Linked DNA regions of Diceros bicornis minor. The protein of the gene in region 1 interacts with the protein of each later gene in a pairwise test. Links are inferred from orthologs where the notes say so. Each region holds a gene or a part of one and is shown on either strand. Other genes may lie near its edges. The genes, in order: HPRT1 and ISCU.

Region 1 (10,580 bases):
CAATGGTGGGTGCAGAAGACAGACTGCAGTGAGTTTGTTGAGGAAGAAATGAGAAGTGAGAAAATGGATAGAGGAAGCATGGAGGGACTCCTCACCTCTGGGCCTGGAGGAAAGAGGGCAAGAAGCAGTGTAGATGTGGATACAAGGGAATTGATGTGGTTCATGCCTGATTCTTTCAATATCTTCATAAGTTAATGAGTTGAGTCTGTATTTCTGGAGTGAGGATGATGGGGTTGAATGGGGACAAATGTTAAGAACATTCCTGAGGAGAATAAGAGGGGGAGCTGACCAAGGGCTTGTAAAGGATTGTGGAGGGGTGTTTAGGGCCCAGTTGAGCTTTGAGACCATGAATCTTTTAGAGAAACCAATCTCCATTGTTGTAGGATTTTCTCCAGCAGCACTCTGCAGCCTAGTAGGGGTAGACAAAACAGGCTGTGGGGTTGAACCAGGGAGTGGCTGTGCCATCTTGGCAGAGCAGAATTAGAAGGGCACAAAGGACTTCCGGCAGTTGGTGAGAGAGTGGTTTCAGGTAGGATCCAAACTGAACTGGGAAGTAAAGGAAGTAAGGGAAGCCAGGAGCAGGGTGATAGACCATAGAATTGGAGATCTCCCATGAATCTGAGGCACCATTATGCTAGGCAGGGTGGCCAAAGAGAACTGGAGAGAAGAAAATTGTGGTCAGAGATTGGGATACTGCAGTTTAAGAGCTGCCATCAGCAGCATTGGGAAGCACCCCCCACACTGGCCCTATACCATTGTAGGGGGACTACACATTCCAGTTTGCCCAGGACAGTCCAGTTTGTGTCTGTTATGCTGGCATCTTGACCAATTTAGCATTTGTCCCAGATTTTTCACTTTCCCATGAAATGTAAGTATTAATAGTTGAATTGAAATAAACCAGGATGGGTCTGTTGAACCACCACTTTTTAGTTCCAGCTTCAACCTTGGTCTCGTCTACTAGCTTGTGAGATGCATATACAAAGAACCAAGTTCTCACTTTAATACAGAGTTAAACCTAAACGACAACCAGTGATAACCCTTCTCCCTTTTCCTAATCTTTTCCAAATGCAATATAACTAACACCTCCCTCTCAAGGACGGCGTGCTGGGCATTCACTGATAACAAAGCAAGTGTACTCAGACGCTAGGAGTTAGAGACAACGGACTCATTCTTGTCCCCGGGTTGCGGGGGATGGGGAGGAGTATTCACCATTGTGCCCCTTGCTGGACACTGGGTGTGCCAGCCAAGGCCAAAGCCTGCAAGATACGTGAAGCTGCCAGGCCACCAGTCGGTAGGCCAGTGGATGTAGGAAATTACATATTTACGTGTATGTAAAATATTTTCAGGAAATATAGAGGCTGAGGAGTCCTGCCATAGAACATACGGCCAGTAGTCTGAATGCTCTTGGTACAATGGCTATGTCATTCATTATATGGTGCAAATCTACAACCCTTTATTTTTTTAAAATTTGCAGTCCACCCTTTCAGCAGGTGAGTCCAAAAACTAAAGTGCATAATTAATGAAAAATTAAATACCGAATTTGTTACTCAAGAAACTTGATCATGAATGTGTAACATGAACAAAACATTTGTTGACATTTATCATACCCACGAGCATGGGGCACATTGGTATCCCTGACCACATGAAAACCAGAAGGTATAAATCTGCGGAGACAGCATCAGCATCTACCTCAAAGGTTTGTAGTCATTTTAAGAAGACTGGGCCCAAAGATGATGATTTAGCGGGGTGCAGCTGCAGAGAGGGTATTAACACATATTGCTCTGTGAGTGACTTTTGTTTAGAACAAATGACTTTTCTTCAAAATTCATTTGCTCATTTTTATTTCAAGTTTTCTCGTACATGGCGAAAAGTGAAGTGATAGCTTTTAATGAGTAGCTCTCTCAGCAAAAGAACTTCACAAACAGCTAAATGATGCCAGTTTTGTATTGATATCATTAGATGCTTCAAATAGAAAATCAGTTGTATTAGTCAGAGTTCTGCAGAGAAACAGAACTAACAGAATGTGTGTGTATATATGTATAAAGACAGAGAGAGAAAGGGATAGAGAGAATTTATTTTAAGGAATTGGCTCACGAGATTGTGGAGGCTTGGCGAATCCAAAATCTCACGGAGTAGGCCGGCGGACTGGAGGTTGAGGGAAGAGCTGCAGTTCCAGTCCAAAGGCAGCCTGCTGGCTGAATTGCTTCTTGCATGGGGAGGTCAGCTTTTGCTCTATTCAGGCCTTCAAATAATTGGATGAGGCCCACCCACATTATGGAAGGTAATCTGCTTTACTCACAGTCCACTGATTTAAATGTTAATCTCATCCAAAAAACACCTTCACAGAAACATCCAGAATAATGCTTGACCAAATATCTGGGCACTGTGGCCCAGCCAAGTTGACACATACAAGTAACCCTCACATTAGTTTACTTCCAGTAATGGTTCAATCTTTCATCTAATTCATGGAATCAAAGTAAAGCTTATGGAAATTTATTCTGATGAAAGTGAAACACCTGACATTATTGAGAAAGCTATTGTAAATTCAGCTTAAAAATTCAACATTTAGGATAAGTATTTTTGCGGTTAAAATTTTTTTTCATAGAAATGCACATTTTGGTGGAGCACAGCACCATGGTAAAAACAAAGTTCTTACTAAATGAAGAAACATGTGGAGCAGAAATATACTTGGAATTGGTTGTGGTGCACAAATAATTCCTCATTATGTGCAAACATGTAGACTACAAAATTGTTTCTGGAAAGGCAGGAGTGGGGAAGGGGAATCTTGGTTTATACCCATGCTTTCCTTATTTCTTCCTGCGTGCAGATATTCTAGTAAAGAACAGTGGCATACCTAGCATATTTGATAGCCAGAGTAGATCATTTTTTTTTATGTTTTTTTTTTTTTTGAGGAAGATTGGCCCTGAGGTAACATCTGCGAATCCTCCTCTTTTTTTTGCTGAGGAAGACTGGCCCTGGGCTAACATCCATGCCCATCTTCCTCCACTTTAATATGGAACGCCTGCCACAGCATGGCCTGACAAGCGGTGCGTCGGTGTGCGCCCGGGATCTGAACCAGCGAACCCCGGGCCGCCGCAGCAGAGCGCGTGCACTTAACTGCTTGCGCCACCAGGCCGGCCCCTGGAGTAGATCATTTTTTAACAAAAAAATGACAAAATTATATGACAAATTCATTTTGTCTATATGACAAAATTATTTTCTGTAATAATTAGTAATAACCATTATTTTCTTGATTTCATCTTTAGTTTTAAAACAAAATTTTAAAAGAATACACTTCAATTTTAAATATATTGTCCAAATTCAGTAAAATATTTCATATATGAACCAGATTTTCACTTACCAAACAAAAGTATTACGTCTTACATTGCGCTTTGCTGTTTTAAGTTTTAAACGCAAATAAAAGCTCCAGGTTGTCACACAGAATGACAGGATTTAAATAATAGTACTGTTTGTTTGTCTTTACAATTACTGGGCTATCACTGTTTATTTCAAATCTCTGTTAAAATACAGGAGTATGTGGTACCACAGAGGTTGGAGAAAGAAAGTGCAAGGCAGAAGCAAGCTGGAATGGTTCTGGAAGTGTTGCGGACCTAATTTAGAAACAAGTGTGGTCAGCTGAGTCAGGGGCTGAATTTATAACCGAAAGTTCTCTGAATTAACTTCCCAGTGGAACACAATGTTTGTTAAAAGAGTAAGTAATAAAAATGTGCTGATAGGAACTTCAAAGTCTATACCCAATAGAAATGCATTCATATGTTCACCAAAAGATATGGAAAAAATGTTCACAGCAACACTATTTGTAATAACCCAAACCTGGAAACTGCCGGAATGTCTCATCAACAGGAAGAATGGATAAAAACTTAGAGGCTAAGAATTGTTTAAGGCAAAAATGTGGAGTACATAACATTGGTATTATCATTCATGGAAGCAAGCACTATGCTAGGCCCTTTTGCAATAGTTTGTTTAATCCTCACCATGCGCTGTGACAGAGATATTATCCGCATTTGACATATGAGGAAACTGAGGCACACAGAGGTCAAGGATCCTGCCCAAGGTCATAACACTAGTTAGTGGTGAACTCAGGTGTTTTTTTTTTTTTTTTTTTGTGAGATCGGCCCTGTGCTAACATCTGCCAATCCTCCTCCTTTTTTGCTGAGGAAGACTGGCCCTGGCCTAACTAATCCATGCCCATCTTTCTCTACTTTATATGGGATGCCGCCACAGCATGGCTTGCCAAGCAGTCCATCCGTGCGTGCCCCGGATCCGAACCGGTGAACCCCGGGCTGCTGCAGCGAAGCGCGCGCACTTAACCGCTTGGGTCACTGGCCAGCCCCTGAACTCAGGATTTGAACTCAGATCTTTCTCAGTCCAAAGCCCACATGTACCTTTTCCGTTATAGTCTGTCGCCTCTCCGTGATAGATAGGGAACATAGAGAAATTGAGTTCACAATTCACACACACGAAAATTATAACTGCTATTATTTCTTGAGCACCTACTATGTGGCAAGTACTATGCTAGGTGCTTTACATAAATGATTTTTACAATTCTCATAATAACCCTTCACAGCAAGAATTGCTCTTCTCATTCTTTAAATGAAGAGACTGAAGCGCAGAGAAATTCGATGACTTGCCCAGTTTCACAAATCTCCTACCATCACATATCCCTCAGTGGTCTTAATAGAGGCCACCAGCTCTGTGCTGGGCACTGTAGTGGGTGCTGGAGCTATACAGATGAGTACATTAGGAAGGGAACAACTGCTTGCCTGACCTATTTAAGAGCTGAGGAAGATTTTTTTCCAGTTCCATATAGGGAATTGTGGAGGCAAAAATAAAGATCAGTAACAGCGATCGTTCCTATTTACTGATTGTGCACTGTCCTAAGTGCTGTACCAGATATATATACATATATCATTTTTAATCCTCACCACGATCCTGTTAATATCCTCATTTTACTGAGATGAAAAGAGAGGCTCAGTGAGTCTGATTTGCACAAAGTCACAGAGCATTTAAGTGTTCCCTTGTACCCTGATCTGGCTGGCTCTAGGGCTCAACTCTTAAACCAGTTAAAGATTTTTGTTAGAATTGAGTGAGGAAAATGGAAGCCGCAAGGCAGTCCAAGGTCTTGGGAAGGGGACGCCGGCTGAGAGGAACCACGCGGTGACCGGAACCTGAAGAGCGGGCGCCCAGTTGAGGGCCACTAGGAAGACACGCGGGCGGCGGTAGTTCGGGGCATTCGGGAGCCACCTGGCTGGGAGACTGAGGGAAAGGAGGTGTAGAGGCTGCGCAGGCGGAGTCGCCGCTGCTTCCGGAAGAAAACGCCCCCCTACCACCTCGGGAGCGGGAACCGTGTAGGCCTCGGGGGAGGCGCGCGGGGGCGTGCAGGCGGGCGTGGGGCGGAGCCTCGGAGCGGGGGCGGGGCCTGCGTCGCCCCGGCTCCCAGCGCGGCGGTGGCGGCGGAGAACGCTCGCGTGACCCTCGCGGCTTTCCCGCGCTGCGCCGCCGCTTCCTTCTCCTCAGACTGCCGTCAGCCTGCGCGCCGGCTCCGTTATGGCGAACCTCAGCCCCAGTGTCGTGGTGAGCAGCTTGGCCCGCCAGGCCGGTGGCGGCGGCGCCTGGTCCCTGAGGCGCGGGGCCCGCAGTGCGGGCTCGGGCCGGGGTGGCCTGGGGAAGCCCGGGGGCGGGGGGTGGCCGCAGCTTCCCTGGGTCGGCTTTACTATGTCGCCGCAGGGCGGCCTGGGGGACGGAATGGCGAGCTTTGGGGTGGGCGCGTCCCCTGGAGAGCCCCGGACAAGAGGGCTGCGTGTGGCGAGAGAGAGTGGAAATGGCGTTTTGGTTGACAAGTGCCGCCTGCGAGCGTGCTTGGGGGAGGGGCCGTGGGCCAGTTCGGGAATGATCTGACGGGGTGAGGGTGGCGGCTTTCTCCGGAGAGGGCCTGCTCTGCAAATTTGGGGTGTGGGGGTGAGGTGCTCAGGGCACTGCAGTAGAGGCCCTGGCACGGAAACGACCACATAGGAGGGTGTGTGGGGACGGGTGTCTTCATCTAGTCCTGCAGATATTAGAATGAATGTTTGTGGGAATGTACATTGCCTCCCTAAATCCTGGCTTGGTGGCGGTAACCATGCCAACCTTTTGACACACCGAGAAAATAGTGAAACGCTATTAGGTCATTTTCCCACGGCCCAGGGGTAGCCAGGCCTCGAATTCAGGTACTCGGGAGTCGGGAGTCTGGATCCTGTGCACTTTGATGCTGCAAGGGACAAAAAAAATGCGAATATGGTCCTTATCCTCAAGGACATTCATACCGTAATCAGCCTTTCGTATCCTGTCTCTAACCACATTGGTTTGTTTTCTTGTTTCTCGAACAAGCCAAGCTGCTCCCCTCCCTCTGTCTCTGATCATGCTTGGTAAAACAGCCAACCCCCCTCTCGACAGTTTAATGCCGTAGCCTGCGTTATTATTATTATTGTTGTTGTTTTAGCAGTTACCTGATTACCTGTTGATTCTCTCTCCCACTAAAATAAACTTTATAAGGGTGGGAATAACCACTGTAACTCCAGTGCCTGGCATGTAAGAAATTCTCCATAATGGTTTGTTGGATGAATAAATAATTAACCACTTGAGCCCTTAAAAGGGAAGAGTTCTATTTTATATTAGGCATTGTGACTTAAGGTAAAGAGTAGGAGTCTGGCCTGGAATCCTGCTTGTTTGGGCTATTTACTAGCTGTGTGGCCTTGGGTAACTTACTTCACCTTTCTGGGCTTAAGTGTCCTTATATATAACTGAGGTGCTAGCTGCCTCGTGGTGTTATTGAAAGGATGATAAGACGGCCTATGTGAGTAAACAACCTTTGCATGGTCCCTGACTGAGAATAGTAATAATAGCTATCATTGTGTTTAACTACATAGTCCTATTGACTCCTCAAAACAACCCTGTAACAGCAGTATGATTATTACTGTTTTAGAGGAGAGGAATCTTGGACGCCTCAGAGAAGTTAAATAACTTAACCTTTTAACATACCCATGTCACACAGTTATTAAGAGGGAGCTCAGACTCGAACCTAGGTCTCTCTCAAGAGCCCATGCACTTAAATGTTAGGCTGATAGTAGGTACTCAAAAATGGTAGGGGCTGTTGTTTTTATTCAATTGCTGAAGAAGTTAGATGCTTTTAGCTTTGGGGTATGATGCCTGCCCCATCATACAGTGAATTATTATTGCTAGAACTGGCTTTTAGTTATGCTTGAACATCAAGATATTCATTGTATTTTTGGTTTGCAAATTCCTGTTCCTTTTTTTATTTCCTTCCAAGAAATTGTCTGCATGTTAGTAATAACAAATATTTAAATAGTGCTTACTATGTGCTGGCTACCGTTCTAAGCCCTTTACATATATTAACTGGTTTGATATTTATTTAAAAAATTTCTGTGGCTCGGAGAGGTTAAGTAACTTGCCCAAAATCTCCCAGCAATGCTAGGATTTGAATTTAAGTTTTCTGGCCCCAGAGTCTGTTCTTACTCTCTCCACTTTTAAGTTAGTAGTGACAATGGTAGGTATTTATTTAGTGCTTACTATGTTTTAGGCATTGAGGTAAGTATTTTGCAGACATTATTTAATGTAAACGTCCCAAAGTTGCATAATAGGTACCCTATGAGGTAGATAAACATTGGTGTGACCTTGGAGGCACAGATTGGTGAAGTAACTTGCCCAACATCACTCAGATGAAATTGGCCCGCAGATCTGCCTGATACAACCCATGCTGCTTGTAACTGTCATATTAAACTGCTAGGGTAAATTTGGACACACTTGAACTAAGAACAAGCTTCTGGATTTTTGCGAATTAATGTGAAACATCAGATATGCATTATGTGGATATAATATAAATTTCAGGGTAGTAGTGTTAGAAATGTATTCTTATACTAACTGGACTTAAATCTTACCCTGCCAGTAATTTTCCAAGAATTGATAAAATAGTGCATTTTCTTTGGCCACAACTCTCTCGTTATTATCAACAGGGTTTGGACTGACATTGGTCACTCACTGTAGACCAAAATTATTGTTCGTAACCACCAAGAAAAGGAGCAGTTCAGTTTGGAGGTTTCATTCTGCAAATTGAGTAATGTGACACGCATACTATAGATCCATCTTAATTGTTTTCTGTCTGTTATTTGTATCTGGGTATTGCAGAAAGTCCCTAGGTAGGCTGTGGGAAAAAAACAAGAGGACCAACCAGATCAGCAGAGAAAGGGCTCCTGGAGTTTTCTGTAGTTTGTTAGGCAGTAACTGATTCATGTCATTTTTTAACTGGGCCCCCTGTGTGAAGAGTTGCTTCAAATGCACTAGTATACTCTTCTTCCTTTCATAATTATATATTGTGTAGATTCAGTAAGATTTATATGCTGTAAAAGTGTCAACCACCATCATTAATATCAATATTGAGACTCGATTGTTATTTTCCTGCCAGTGGCTACCAAAGTACTAACATTTAGAGTAATTCACCACTAATAAGAATTCAAACCAACACTTCAAATTGCTATGGAACTACTATCTTCAACACTATGCTTCTAATAATTGACAGGTATGTATTTTTTTGTCCAGAAGGAACGTGTCATTTCACTGTGCACACTAATAAAAGGAAAGATCATAGTGTTGGATAAATTCATGTCCTTGCATATATAGCAGTTGTGGGCCCACTTACCTAGGAGCAGCTAATAATTTATCCCTGGGTTGAATAGTCAGGTAAACCTTTTAATTCTTTAACCCTTAGGAGGGAGGGCAGGCAAGTTATATACATAATTTATTTGTAAGACTGATATGAAATTGAAAGATATACTACTAGCTTAAATTATTTTCACATTTAGGAATATGTGCATCAGTAATTCATAATTTTGGTTTTATGATGCCCTGAGTTATCACAGATTATCCCAAGGGAATAGCATATTATCTGCTTTGGTGTTTTTTGAGAATTTTAAAATATCTGGATATAAAAGGTAAATGCCACCTAGCAATTTCTGTCCATTCTAGAAGCTTGGAATTGTTGTTGGTTACTAGGAATAAAATAAAATGTAATATATCTACTATTGTATGTCTTTGCATCGCGTACATTTTAAGACTCACTTCCTCACTTCCATTTAGTCTTGTTTGGATGCACGAACATTGTTATTGTTATTATTATTTTCTTAGAGGGCTTCAGTGGCTCTTTATTATTAACTTCTTGTAACCTTGCTCTACATGAGATATGAAGTCATCCAGCAAAGAAGAAATTACCTCCTAAATTATAAAACCAAGGCTATAACAATATCAAAGGCTGGAGAAAATCACATACCCCTTGTTACAAGTGAGGAAGAAATGTCAAATATCATTTATTTTAAAAAATCGTAAAAACATATAAACGTATAAACAACTACTGTCTAAATTTAACAATGTATCAGGTTTCATCCTCTCCACCTTTATCTTTGAATTCCAGTAACTGGTCTGTGGTATAGTATAAAGAACCCTGGTCTGTGAATTAGGAAGTCTGGATTCTAGGCCCCTGTCTGACACTAACTAGCTCTGAGACATTAGGGTCCTTATCTCTAATATCAAAGGTGAGGGTTAAATGGCACTTGAATTACACTCTAGCATACTGGCTTCTTAATTTTGAATATAAGTATGAAGTAGCTAAGAAGGACTAATAGAGTGTTTAAATGGAATGAAAACCAAGTAATAATTTATTGCTTCCAAAATGTTCTTTGGATTCTTGGGCTTTCCTCTCGTTAAATGTATCCAGGCTCCAAACTTTCTTTTCTCTGCCAGTTACCTTTTTCCTTGGTTCCTTTAGCTTTTACCTTCTACTTTAGCCTTTACGAACATTGTTATTTATTTATTTATTTTTTTGGTGAGGAAGATTAGCCCTGAGCTAACATCTGTTACCAGTCCTCTTTTTGCTGAGGAAGATTGGCCCTAGGCTAACATGCATGCCCATCTTCCTCTACTTTATATGGGACACGGTGCGTTAGCCTGCGCCTGGGATCCGAACCAGAGAACCCCGGGCCGCCAAAACAGAGCATGTGAACTTAATTGCTACACCATCCCAAACATTGTTATTTTTTGACCACAAAGAGACTCAAGCAGTCCTAGTCACAGATGATAAATTGATATTGCAAGTGTTATCTTAGCTCTAGTTAATTTCCTTGCTTACTGTAATTTTAGGTAATATGTCTTTGTAATTAGAAATTTTGTGTAAACCACAAAACTTTTAATGTATGAAAACCATTATTATATGTGTGACATACATAATTATGAAGAATTTGTGATGTCAGTTTTACTGGAAAGTAAAATTATTTTGGTAATTTATGATAGCAAAAGTATTGACTTTGATTCTAGACAAAAGGCAGATATTAATGTTACACTTTTCAATACTCTTTCATTTTAATAAAAGTACCTGTGTAAATTTTATTATTAACAAGTACATTACAGATAGGTTAGAATTTGAGAGCTGCCTTATATAAAAGCTCTGAGGAGATGCAGTCAGATTTATGAACTGTCTGGGTAAATGGTATGTAACTCAGAGCTATTAATAATCT
Region 2 (10,417 bases), on another chromosome or scaffold:
ATGCCTGGGGTTTGGCTGAGAGCCCGAGGGCAAAACATGAGGCAGGCAGTTCCTTGCCCAAGTGGAAGAGAGCCCCACTGCCTTAAGGAAAGCCAGGTTTCCCCATCTGCACCCTGTTTCCCAATTCCACTAAATCCACTAAATTATGCTTCAAGCTCTGGAAACTCAGATGGGAGGATCTCAAGGTCAAAGAAAGGCCCTCTTCCCCCAGTGTCTGATGACGACTCACAGCGCCCTAAGGGCCAGGTCCTGGGAGCACAGGGGCCTTGTTCCCTCATCTCCCCTCTCCCTCAGGATAATGCTTGACAAACCCCTGCAGGGTCCCCTCCTGCCAGAACAGGATAGGTCCGTGCTCCTATCCGAACAGGATAGGAGCCTGCCAGCCAGAGGGCCCTGAGCCTCAGGAAGCAGGTAGCTCGAGGCCGGGCACACCGCTCTGCTGTGGAGCGGCCCAGCGCCCCAAGCCATGACTCAGCTTCCTGAACTTGGAGCCCTGGGGCCGCAGAGACGAGGACCCTGCAGTCTGGCTTTCCTGAGAGGTTTTAATAACAACCGGACTTTAGGAAGTCTAGCTCTTCGCTGGGTTTGGGACCTTCTACCTTTGCAGCTGCCGGGGAGAGGCTCTGGCAGAGAAAAGGATGGAAAGGATGTTCCAACCTTTCTTATCTCCCCACTCAGAGGGCTGCCAATCAGCCACTGGGATCACTGTTCTGATTTATTTGCTCACTTTGCCCCCACCCTCACTGTGTTTTTATTCTCCAATCCTCTTTAGCACAGGCTACTTGTTATTTCATGATCCTTGTGAGCCATCTGCAATCCTTCCTGGAACATCATGGAAAGAAATAAACAAGAAAACAAACCACTAAACAATACCCTCCTCGGACTTAGACTTCTAAGAAGTTATAACAACGTCAGCAACCTTGGAGAAAGGCAAAGATTTCTTTTCAGTTCTATTTTGTTAGAGGGAGACATGAGGATCTTTTTTCTATCTAATTAAAAACAAAACACCACCAAAATCTCCAAACAAATAAAAATGACCACCACCAACAAAAACCCCAAAAAACTAAAAAGCACTTAACAAAATTATCCATAATTCCCAACACAGAGAAGAATTTAATCACACTCTGGGTAGGAGAAATTAAAAAAAAATTCTTAGAATGATATTTTGAAAAAATCATAGTTACTTTTTTTCACTCACTAGACCCTTCCCTTAACTGAGAGCCAGGTTTGTGGGGAATTCGATTTACTTGCCGTCCAATTGGCAAGCAACCTTACCGTCTTCCCTTTTACCCATTCGGTGGCTAATGAGCTGGAGGCAATGGCAGAACCACAGCCAAATGTTTTAAACCTGGCGTCCACGATCTTCCCCTTTTCATCCACTTGAATCTAGAAAAGAGACAGGAGTTAGGCAGTGATTCCTGAGATGCCCTGTAGAACCTGGCCCTCACCGAGGTTCACCGGGGCTCTCCCCAAGAGCTGTGGTCTTTCTTTCCACACTAAGTTTTGGCACTAATTACCGCGCTTGCTTTGTTTCAAAGAGCTCAGTGAGGAAAAGTTAAACGTGGGAACAACTATACAGAATTATACAGGCTTAGCTGGTAAAGATGAGCTGAAAAATATGCCCCCTCCCTAGTTTTTTTTGCAATGCTAGCCTGCTTTTTGGCTATGAAGTTCTGCTCACAGCTGCTGGGTCAGTCTGCCTCTTTAAGCACTGGGACGGTCTGCACTAAAGGTCTCTGGTTATTGCTTTTTTCTTGGCACCAAGTTACCTTTAGTGGTTCCCTCCTGCCTTGTTTCTGTTTTCCAAGATAAGCATGAAAACCTCTGGCAAGGTGCCCACCCACCATGATGAAGTAGATTGTGCATAAAGCTACGGTTTCCCCAAAGTGCCAATCACTACCTTCAGGTTGTTGCCAATTTGGGGGAGGTTTGATTTATTACATTTCTTGTCTCACTGAGGGTGGCTAGCTGAACGGTTGTGGTTTTCCTTCGATCAGTAAAATTCATAAAAACTTTACTTCGCTGAAGCTGGAATTTAAGCTGATCCAGTGACTAGAAAAGGGAGATCAGTTTACTATATCAGAAAGGGTCAGCACAGTCTACTAGCAGGGGGACTAGCATTCAGTCCTTGCTCTGACAATTTATAACACTGACTCACCCCATCTCACAGGAATCAAGATGGAGTCTGCACGAAATGCTGTGTGTGCGCATGCTTTGTAAACAGTGAAGCTCTGTGTAAGCAAAGGGGTCACTGTTATTCACATTCAAGATCAAAACCGGTCCTACCTGTAGTTTCATTACATCACCACACGCTGGAGCCCCCACCAATCCAGTTCCCACATTTTTAGATGTCTTGTCAAGGGACCCCACGTTTCTAGGATTTTCATAATGATCAACAACCTGAAACGAAAGGTTGAGAGCAATCATGACTCTTTTTTGGTACTGGTCTCCCCGACTTGACAGTAAGCTCCCGGAAGTCGGCAGGCTGAACCTGGCAGGCGATCACTAAATCCCAAATTTCACCCTGGTAGGAAGGCTTACACCTCTGTCAATGACAACCATTTGCGACCCAAAGTCTTTCTGTATCTCCTCTCCAACTACCTTCAGAGATTTGAGATACGAGAGAAAAACCAGCCAAATCATGTCTTAATTCCACAGGGTTTTTAACCACACATAATTACTTGACCTTTAACCACCTACGTCACCAGATTTGGGCTCAAACAGTATTTTTGTTATTTCCAAATAAAATCCATTTTTAAAGGTTAATGATTACTATTCAAAAATTCTAAAAATAAGTACGGGTCAGAAATGTAAGGCTTTCCCAGAGCCTCAAGGAGACTGTTACAGAAGGAACAATGCTATGGACCCTGTGCATTTGTGTACGATGATAACATCAGGCCTGTTTCTGTATTTCAGGGCCCTGAAAGCCCCCCGGTGCAGCAGCGCCCCCTGGTGGCTGGAAGGCTGCTAGCTCGAACTCATTCAGCGTGAAATGTCAACAAAACACACCCCCGGGAGGCGGAGGAGGGAAGTCCTTGGCATCGTGAAGCCAGAAGCGAATAAATCTCTCTTCACACTGGCACACACGCTTTAATAGCCTTGGGTCCGTTTACCAGTTAGCTCTAAGTATCCCGATCTTCCAGTCTCCTTTCCCCCACCTCTCCGACCACGGACTCGGACTCCAAGCCCAAGGACCTACAAGGTCATGTCCAATCTGGACTTTCTGCCCCATGTTGATGTACGGCATTCTTCGCTTAGTTTCCGGAGTCAAAGAATCTCACGTCTAGGGGACTTTACGCCCCCAGAAGGCAAGGGCTGTAAACGTTGCGCCTATTCCTCTCCCCCTCCCCCCACGAAAAAACCAAAACATACATAAAAACATTATGACTGCTGGTTACGTGTCCGACTCCGCTCAGAGGCTCCTTCCTACCACAGTAACAGCTGCGGCACCATAAACGGTCCCCGTGTGCTAGGCATCACGCCGAGGACTCCACGAGCATCACCTCGCGTAGATCTAGAAGTGCTAAGACCCCCATTTTACAAATGGGGAAAAGGGCTCGGCGAGGGGCAGTGACTTGCCCAAGGTCACTGGGCCCGGGCAGTGGCCTGGCTGGAGCCGGTGTGCGTGTCTGGCCCCGGATGCGGCTGGCAGGTCCCAACAGGCCCCCGACTGTTGGGAAGTTAAAGGCCGGGACGCGAGACCCCGCGGCGGGCGGCGGGCCCCGGGCGGCGGCGGCTCCACGAGCCGCAGCCGGTGCTTGCTTCAGGCGGGTTAGCGTTCCTGCGCAGCGAGGGGCAGGGTCGAGCGAGGGGGCGGCCCCTCCGTCCGGGGCCGGGCGCCGCCCCTTCCCCCGCCGTAGCAGGGGCTCCCCGGCCGCGCAGAGCCCCGCGGCCACTCCTCCCTGGGCTGGGCCTCCGCCGGCACGCCCGGGGCCCCTCGGCGGTCGTCGCACTCCCGCCCCCCCGGCCGGCGCGGGCCCTGCGCGCCCCCTCGCCCGCGCCCACCTTCTTGTGATAGAGCCGGGCCGGAGCTGACAGCTCCCGGGCGGGCAGGCGCGGGCTCCGCAGCAGCAAGGCCGACGCCGCCCGCCTCAGACGGCCCGCTCCAGCCGCCGCCATCTTGCGGGCTTGCGCCTGCGCAGGCCGAGCGCGAGACCGAGGGGTGGGGTGCGCCCGCAAGTCGGCTCCCAGCTCGGAGCGCGCTTCCTCCTACGTCACCGCGACGTCGCGCCTGCGCCCTCTCGCTCCGTGCACGTGTCCGCGCTTGGGCCCCGCCCCTCAGGGCGGGCGGGGCTCGGAGCTGGGAGCTGTGGGGTCGCAGGCGGGTTTGTTCTCGGCGCTGGGCTCTGTATCTGCTAGGATCTCAGCTTCCTGGAGTGCGGGACCTACGTTCGCGTTCACAAAGCCCACCGCCGGAATACGGCGCAGAGCATCACCTAGTCCACCTTTCTTCACTCTGTTTTGCAGCTTAGGAAGTTGAGGTTCAGAGCGACTTAGTAGCTTGTCTGAGGTTGCCCAGAGTTTGACTCAGTGGGGATTCAAACTCGAACAATCCTGTTAGAATCCCGGTTCTGCTTCTTCCTGGCTGTGTGACTGTAGGCAAATGACATCAGCTTTCTAAGCCTTGATCTTCTCTTTTGTACTAAGTCAAGGCCAATTTTTTCATCCATTGAGCAGATATGTGTTCAGTACCTATCATATGTCAAGGCGCTATACTAATAGGCTTTGGGGATCCAACGGAAAGACATAGTCCCTGCTCCATTAAGCTTGCTAACGAAGGAGGAAGGCAATAAATGAACACGCCAATACTTTCCTACCTCAAAAATGGGAAGCTTAATTAGGAAGGAAACGAACACCATGCCCTGATTAACAGAAAAATGCGTATATTTATGTCCGCGTCTATTTCAATATAAAGCAAACTGGCACAATTTATATGACAATACCTGGCAGTGAAGAGTTTCTGAATAAATGTTTAGTCATGTAATTTATTAATATTGGTTTGCAGAATACGGTCTTAGAAAACGAGAAATCTCGCACGTGTTATTTAACGCCTGCTAGGCACCAGGCATTACATAAAGGGGAGGAATCTCTTTGGGAAATGGATTTTTCTCGTGGATGGTGCAATCGATACTTCCCAGAGGACTCGGAGGTTTCTCTGCGTTTGACGCTCAGTTGCTGGGGAGACTGAACCACGCGCCAGGTTAGACGCAAGCAAGGCGTTTATCCCAAGAATCATATTGACCTTCTCAAGATGGCTCCAAACCCTTAACCACAGTCATCACGCTCCCTCCATGACGTCCTCTAATGGCCTCCACTTCCGGTCCAAAGACCCATCTTCTGTCCGAAGTTGTGGCCGTACATATGCCATATTATTAAGCTTCTTTCTCTGAAAAAAACTTTTACAAGTATATAAAAACAATGTGAGTGGCGTGTATTTAGAGATTTTTCCATCACCCGAAGCTCACAGTTTCCCTTTGAGTGGCAAGAGTGCGGGGTTTTGATCAGGCACGCGCCGCGGGCAGCTTCTACTTCTGCGGGTCTTCGGCGGCCGCGTGAGGACCCGAGAGTCACTGGAAGCGCAAGATGGCGACCGCGGCTGCAACATCGGCTTCGGAACCGGAGGCTGAGCCCAACGCTGGGCCCAAGGCCGAGGGAGAGGAGGAGGAGGTGAAGGCGGCTAGGACGCGGAGGAAGGTGTTATCGCGGGCTGTGGCCGCTGCGACGTGCAAGACCATGGGGCCAGGGTGGGACCAGCAGGAGGAGGGCATGAGCGAGAGCGATGGAGACGAGGAGTACGCCATGGCTTCCTCGGCGGAGAGCTCCCCCGGGGAGTACGAGTGGGAGTACGACGAAGAGGAGGAGAAGAACCAGCTGGAGATCGAGCGGCTGGAGGAGCAGGTGCGCCCGGGGGTGGGCGGCGGGCTCCTTCCCTCGCGTCCCCGGGCCCCGGCCCGCCTCCGTGGTCCTGAGCGGGAATAAAGACGCCGAGGCCGCAGAACCGCTATCGTCACCGCAGCTCCTGTCGTTGGAGCGCTTCCCGCTGGCCCCGTGCTTTGCAAGCGTTATCCCACTGAACCCTCGCAAGGACCCCGCGAAGGAAGGGGCGTATTCCCCGTTTTACGGGAGGAAACAGGCTCCTCGTGGAGAGAATTCTCAGGCTCAAGATCACACTTCCTGCAAGTGGCGAGTCAGGTCTTGAACTTTGAACCGACTCCAGCACTCCCACTCTTCACCACACCGTTAGGCTATGCCCAGCAGTAGAAATAAAATTCGCTTCGTAAGAGAGGGTTATTTTTCTGTAGGAATGATGATAATGCTGAAATGTGGCGTGGCAGAAAATGTTGACCGTGACGACGATCACAGAAATAGAAGGGTGGGGATTTCAGCGTCTGGAGGCGAAGGCCCCAGTTCTAGCTCTTCCACGCCTGTACGTGCTTGGGCACGTTGCTTAGCTTCTCTGAGCCTTGGCTTCCTCATCTGTAAATTGGGAGTAGCAATTCCTGCACCATGTAAACGACATAACGGTAATATAATTCAGTGGGGGGCACCTAGTAGTGACGTGACTTCTAATCTGTGACTTTATGAGATACAGGTGGTGGATCTCCTGTGTAATCCAGGATCCCAGCAGGAAATAGGTGGTGCATTCAAATTAGGATAATTTGAGAAAAGGTCAATAAAGGGACTACTGTGTTTGTAAAGGTGTGGGCAGGGACATCAGGAATGAAGGTTAGCACTTAAGAACTAATAACAGCAGGACCTTGTGTCCACTTTTAGGCCTGAAGGAGTGAGGGGAGTGCCTGGTTTTCTGAATAGCTGGGTGGGAGGGCACCTGAGAGGAGCTAAGACTTTTGGGCAAGGGATGCGGCCCCAGTTTCCTATCAGAGATTGAGGTGGGGGAAGAAATACCCTCACCTCCCTCTCTTCCTCTCCAGACATCTCCCGGTGCCTCCTACTGGGCAAACTCTGCTGGAAGCAGGAGAGCCAGGAAGCCCATTGATATGGTCCACACGGTGGCGGTGGGGGTGGCGGGGGCACAGGACAGCGTGGAGGGGGTGGAGTGGATTTGGAGGGGCAAACGGAAGAGATCTAGCACCTTCTCAGTTTACAGATGAGGAAACAGAGGCTCAGCACAAATGATGAAATGATTTGCTTAAGGTCACTCATAAGGGGATTTGAACTTTTCAGGGTTGTCTGTGGACCAGATGCCACTCTGGATGTGAAATCACTTAGTGATGTGAAGGTTCCTCACTTAAGCTTGCTGGGTGTGAGTTTGCTTATAATGTCCTCTCTGACTGTGATATATTTGTCAAGTTATGGAGTAGTGATATCATCCATTGGTATAGCTTGTCCCACTCGTCGTCATATCTGATTGTCACGGGAACCAGTTGGGGTAGGCAGGTGGTTACCACTTCTGCTTCTTTTAAAGAAGTTTGCTGATGATCGTTCAGTCTTTTGCTCGTTCAGCAAATACAGTGTGATATGGAGTGCCAGACTGGCGTGTCCCTGTCATTATGGTGCACGTCTGTTCTTCAGACTTGGAGTCTTGGGCCTTTCAGTGAGCCATTAGCTCACTTGGACCTTACTATTCTGTGAGGTAGAGGAAATAGGATAACCTGTTTTAGTGGGAAGGGGAGGCCTGGAAGCAGAGAAGTCCTTAATGAGGGTACCCAGCTTACTAGGAAGGAGGATGGATCAGAGCAGAGGTCTCCTGGTGCTCTGCAGTTGCCTGCCCTGCCTCAGGCCACTGAGGCTGGGCTGGAGCTCTGAAGGTGACCACACAGGAGGGGACCTGGCCAGTGATGGTGAATTGAAGAGCCTCTGGCCTTATTCTCTTTGTCCTGGGTCTAGAAATGGACTTTTCCAATTTTTCCAAACCTCCCTTGGATCTCACAGCTTCTACTTCCTGCTGTAGTTGCTTTTATGGCTGAGCATAATGATGAATAACTTACAGATAGGTCTGTGAGAAATTCGGCCTTGCTATATTTGAGAATTCCGGTTCTCATCCCTAGGTGTGTTTTATGAAAGCTTGAAAATAGTGTGGTGTCTGTCCGTGTAACAAAAGCAGCGATTTCCCGTTATTTGCGTTTGGTCCTGAAATGAAAAGCCCCCTCGGGCAGATTCGTTAGTGCACCACGGAGCAGTGCAGAGCATGGCTTTGCAGCCGGATGTGAGCTCAAGGCCTCTGCTCAGTAGTGGAAAGACTTCGTGCACAGTATTTCAGCTCTCTGGGTCTGCGGGGTCCCAGGTGGGAAAATGAGGGTTATAGTAGTCCCTCCCTTACAGGGCTGTTGTGCAGTTTAAGTGACACGATGCGCATTACGCTCCTGGCACAGTTTGGCACGTGGGTGCTATGCCAGGGCCTGTGTGACACAGACCTGCTCTGTGCTCTGTTCTCCTGTCCCCGCCTTTCCCTGATCGCAGCAGCTGGGTCCTTTCCATCAGGCCCATCTGTTACCTCTCCACGCTAATTCCAGGGAGTTAGGAAGTCAGCAGGTCACTTCGTGCATTGGCCAAGCCCCCTCTTGCTGTAAAGCATCCTTTGTCATTAATGATGTTCTGAGTCTGGAATAGACCAGCATATGCACTCGTTTGTCAGTGCCGAGTGAACTCTGGAGATGTCTCTTACTGCATTTCAGTGTGCATTTAATATACATACTTTCAGAGCACCTCCCTACATACCGTATCTTCATTTTTGGGCCTAAAAGTCAGAAATTTAGACCAAAAGCCACCTCTTTTTTTTTTTTTTAAAGTCTCTCATTTTTTTTTTTTTTTTTTTGTGAGGAAGATCAGCCCTGAGCTAACATCCATGCTAATCCTCTTCTTTTTGTTGAGGAAGACCGGCTCTGAGCTAACATCTATCGCCAATCCTCCTCCTTTTTTTTCTCCCCAAAGCCCCAGTAGATAGTTGTATGTCATAGTGGCATGTCCTTCTAGTTGCTGTATGTGGGACGCGGCCTCAGCATGGCCGGAGAAGCGGTGTGTTGGTGCGCGCCTGGGATCCGAACCCGGGCCGCCAGCAGCGGAGCGTGCGCACTTAACCGCTAAGCCATGGGGCCGGCCCCAACCAAAAGCCACCTTAAAGGCAGCTCCTCTACGTAAGTCACTTTTCCAACTTTTTCTTCTGACCCACACGTGGTATCCAGCCGAGGGGCATTTGCACAGACATTCCTCACCCTAACTAGCAAAGACCCTCCCACCCCCCTTCATGCTCCGAACACATGCTCAGACCCAGGTGCGTCGAGAGTGGGGGGGTAACAGGGAGGACCTGGAATGTTCTTTATTGTGGAAAGTACATCTTTCACCAGCTTCCCTTCTTTAACTTTTGTTACTTATGCGACGCACTTGACAGTCAGTTTTGGAACATGAGTGTCCTGACTTGAGAACCAGAGGTCTGCTCCAGCTCCTTCGTGTTGCAGGGAGGACACTGAGGAGCAGTGGAGGTGAGAGCGCTGTGTCCTGACCTAGTCCAGTGCGTTTTCAAACCGCCCCCCCCCACCCCTCGACAAGTGGTTAGCTTGTCGAGTTTTATAAGTCATGAGCAGAGCATTGCTAAAAGTCTTAAGATTTAAAAAAAAATTACGTCATGCTGTTATCAGTTATCGATTCTTCTTTATTATCTTTTTGCATGGGCGTTGATACATACAGAGCAGTTTACGTCTATAAATTATAGGATATGGTAATCAAATGAACACCACTCACCCCACCGGTCGGTCTAAGAGGACTTTGCTGGTACTGTTGTGTGCACCTGTGGCTTCTCTCCTGTTGCTCTGCCTTGCCCCTCCCCTTACCCCCTCCTAAACCCAGGTAACTACTTTCTTGAATCTTGTGTGCTTCCTTCTCTTTTAAAACAGGTATAGTTTTATCACCTAGGTGTGCATCCCTAAGCAGTATATTGTCCACTTTTGTTCATTTTTGAGCTTTTTAAAAAGTGTATCATGCTATATGTAATCTGAGACTGCTCTCCACTCAGCAATATGTCTCTAAGATTTATTTATGCTACTTGTAGCTGCAATTCATTCCCTTTGACTACTGTGTACAGTCATGTGTTGCTTAGTGACGGGGATATGTTCTGAGAAATGTGTCATTAGGCGATTTCATCCTTGTGTAAACATTATAGAGTACTTACACAAACCTAGGTGGTATAGTCTCCTGCACACCTAGGCTACATGGTACTAATCTCATGAGACCACTGTTGTATATGTGGGCCGTCATTGACCAGAACGTTATGTGGCACCTGACTGTATTTAGTGTACCATTGTGTGGGTATCTCACAGTTTATCAGTTCTTCTGGCATTTGGATTGCTTAGTTTTTTTCTTTTTCCTATCACAAACAAGCTACAAGGAACATTGTTCCTGGTGAACTGTGCCACTATTGAACATGTATAAGAGTTTTTCTAAGTCAAACTGGGGTTATGGT

The links.
Region 2: the proteins of HPRT1 (region 1) and ISCU interact in binary tests that used the Homo sapiens proteins (3 or more experiments, as listed by UniProt). The two-hybrid records come from large-scale screens. The link is inferred for Diceros bicornis minor from reciprocal best matches to the Homo sapiens genes HPRT1 and ISCU.

What each region holds. Positions count from the first base shown.
Region 1 is NC_080781.1:122,365,720-122,376,299, forward strand, and holds the start of HPRT1 (hypoxanthine-guanine phosphoribosyltransferase), read left to right. Parts: upstream 1-5,474; 5' UTR 5,475-5,568; coding exon 5,569-5,595; intron 5,596-10,580. UniProt on the Homo sapiens protein: Converts guanine to guanosine monophosphate, and hypoxanthine to inosine monophosphate. Transfers the 5-phosphoribosyl group from 5-phosphoribosylpyrophosphate onto the purine.
Region 2 is NC_080774.1:18,770,840-18,781,256, forward strand, and holds the start of ISCU (iron-sulfur cluster assembly enzyme ISCU), read right to left. Parts: upstream 4,135-10,417; 5' UTR 4,120-4,134; coding exon 4,006-4,119; intron 2,401-4,005; coding exon 2,287-2,400; intron 1,387-2,286; coding exon 1,276-1,386; intron 1-1,275. Other genes in the region: SART3 (squamous cell carcinoma antigen recognized by T-cells 3), read left to right, coding at 5,584-5,898.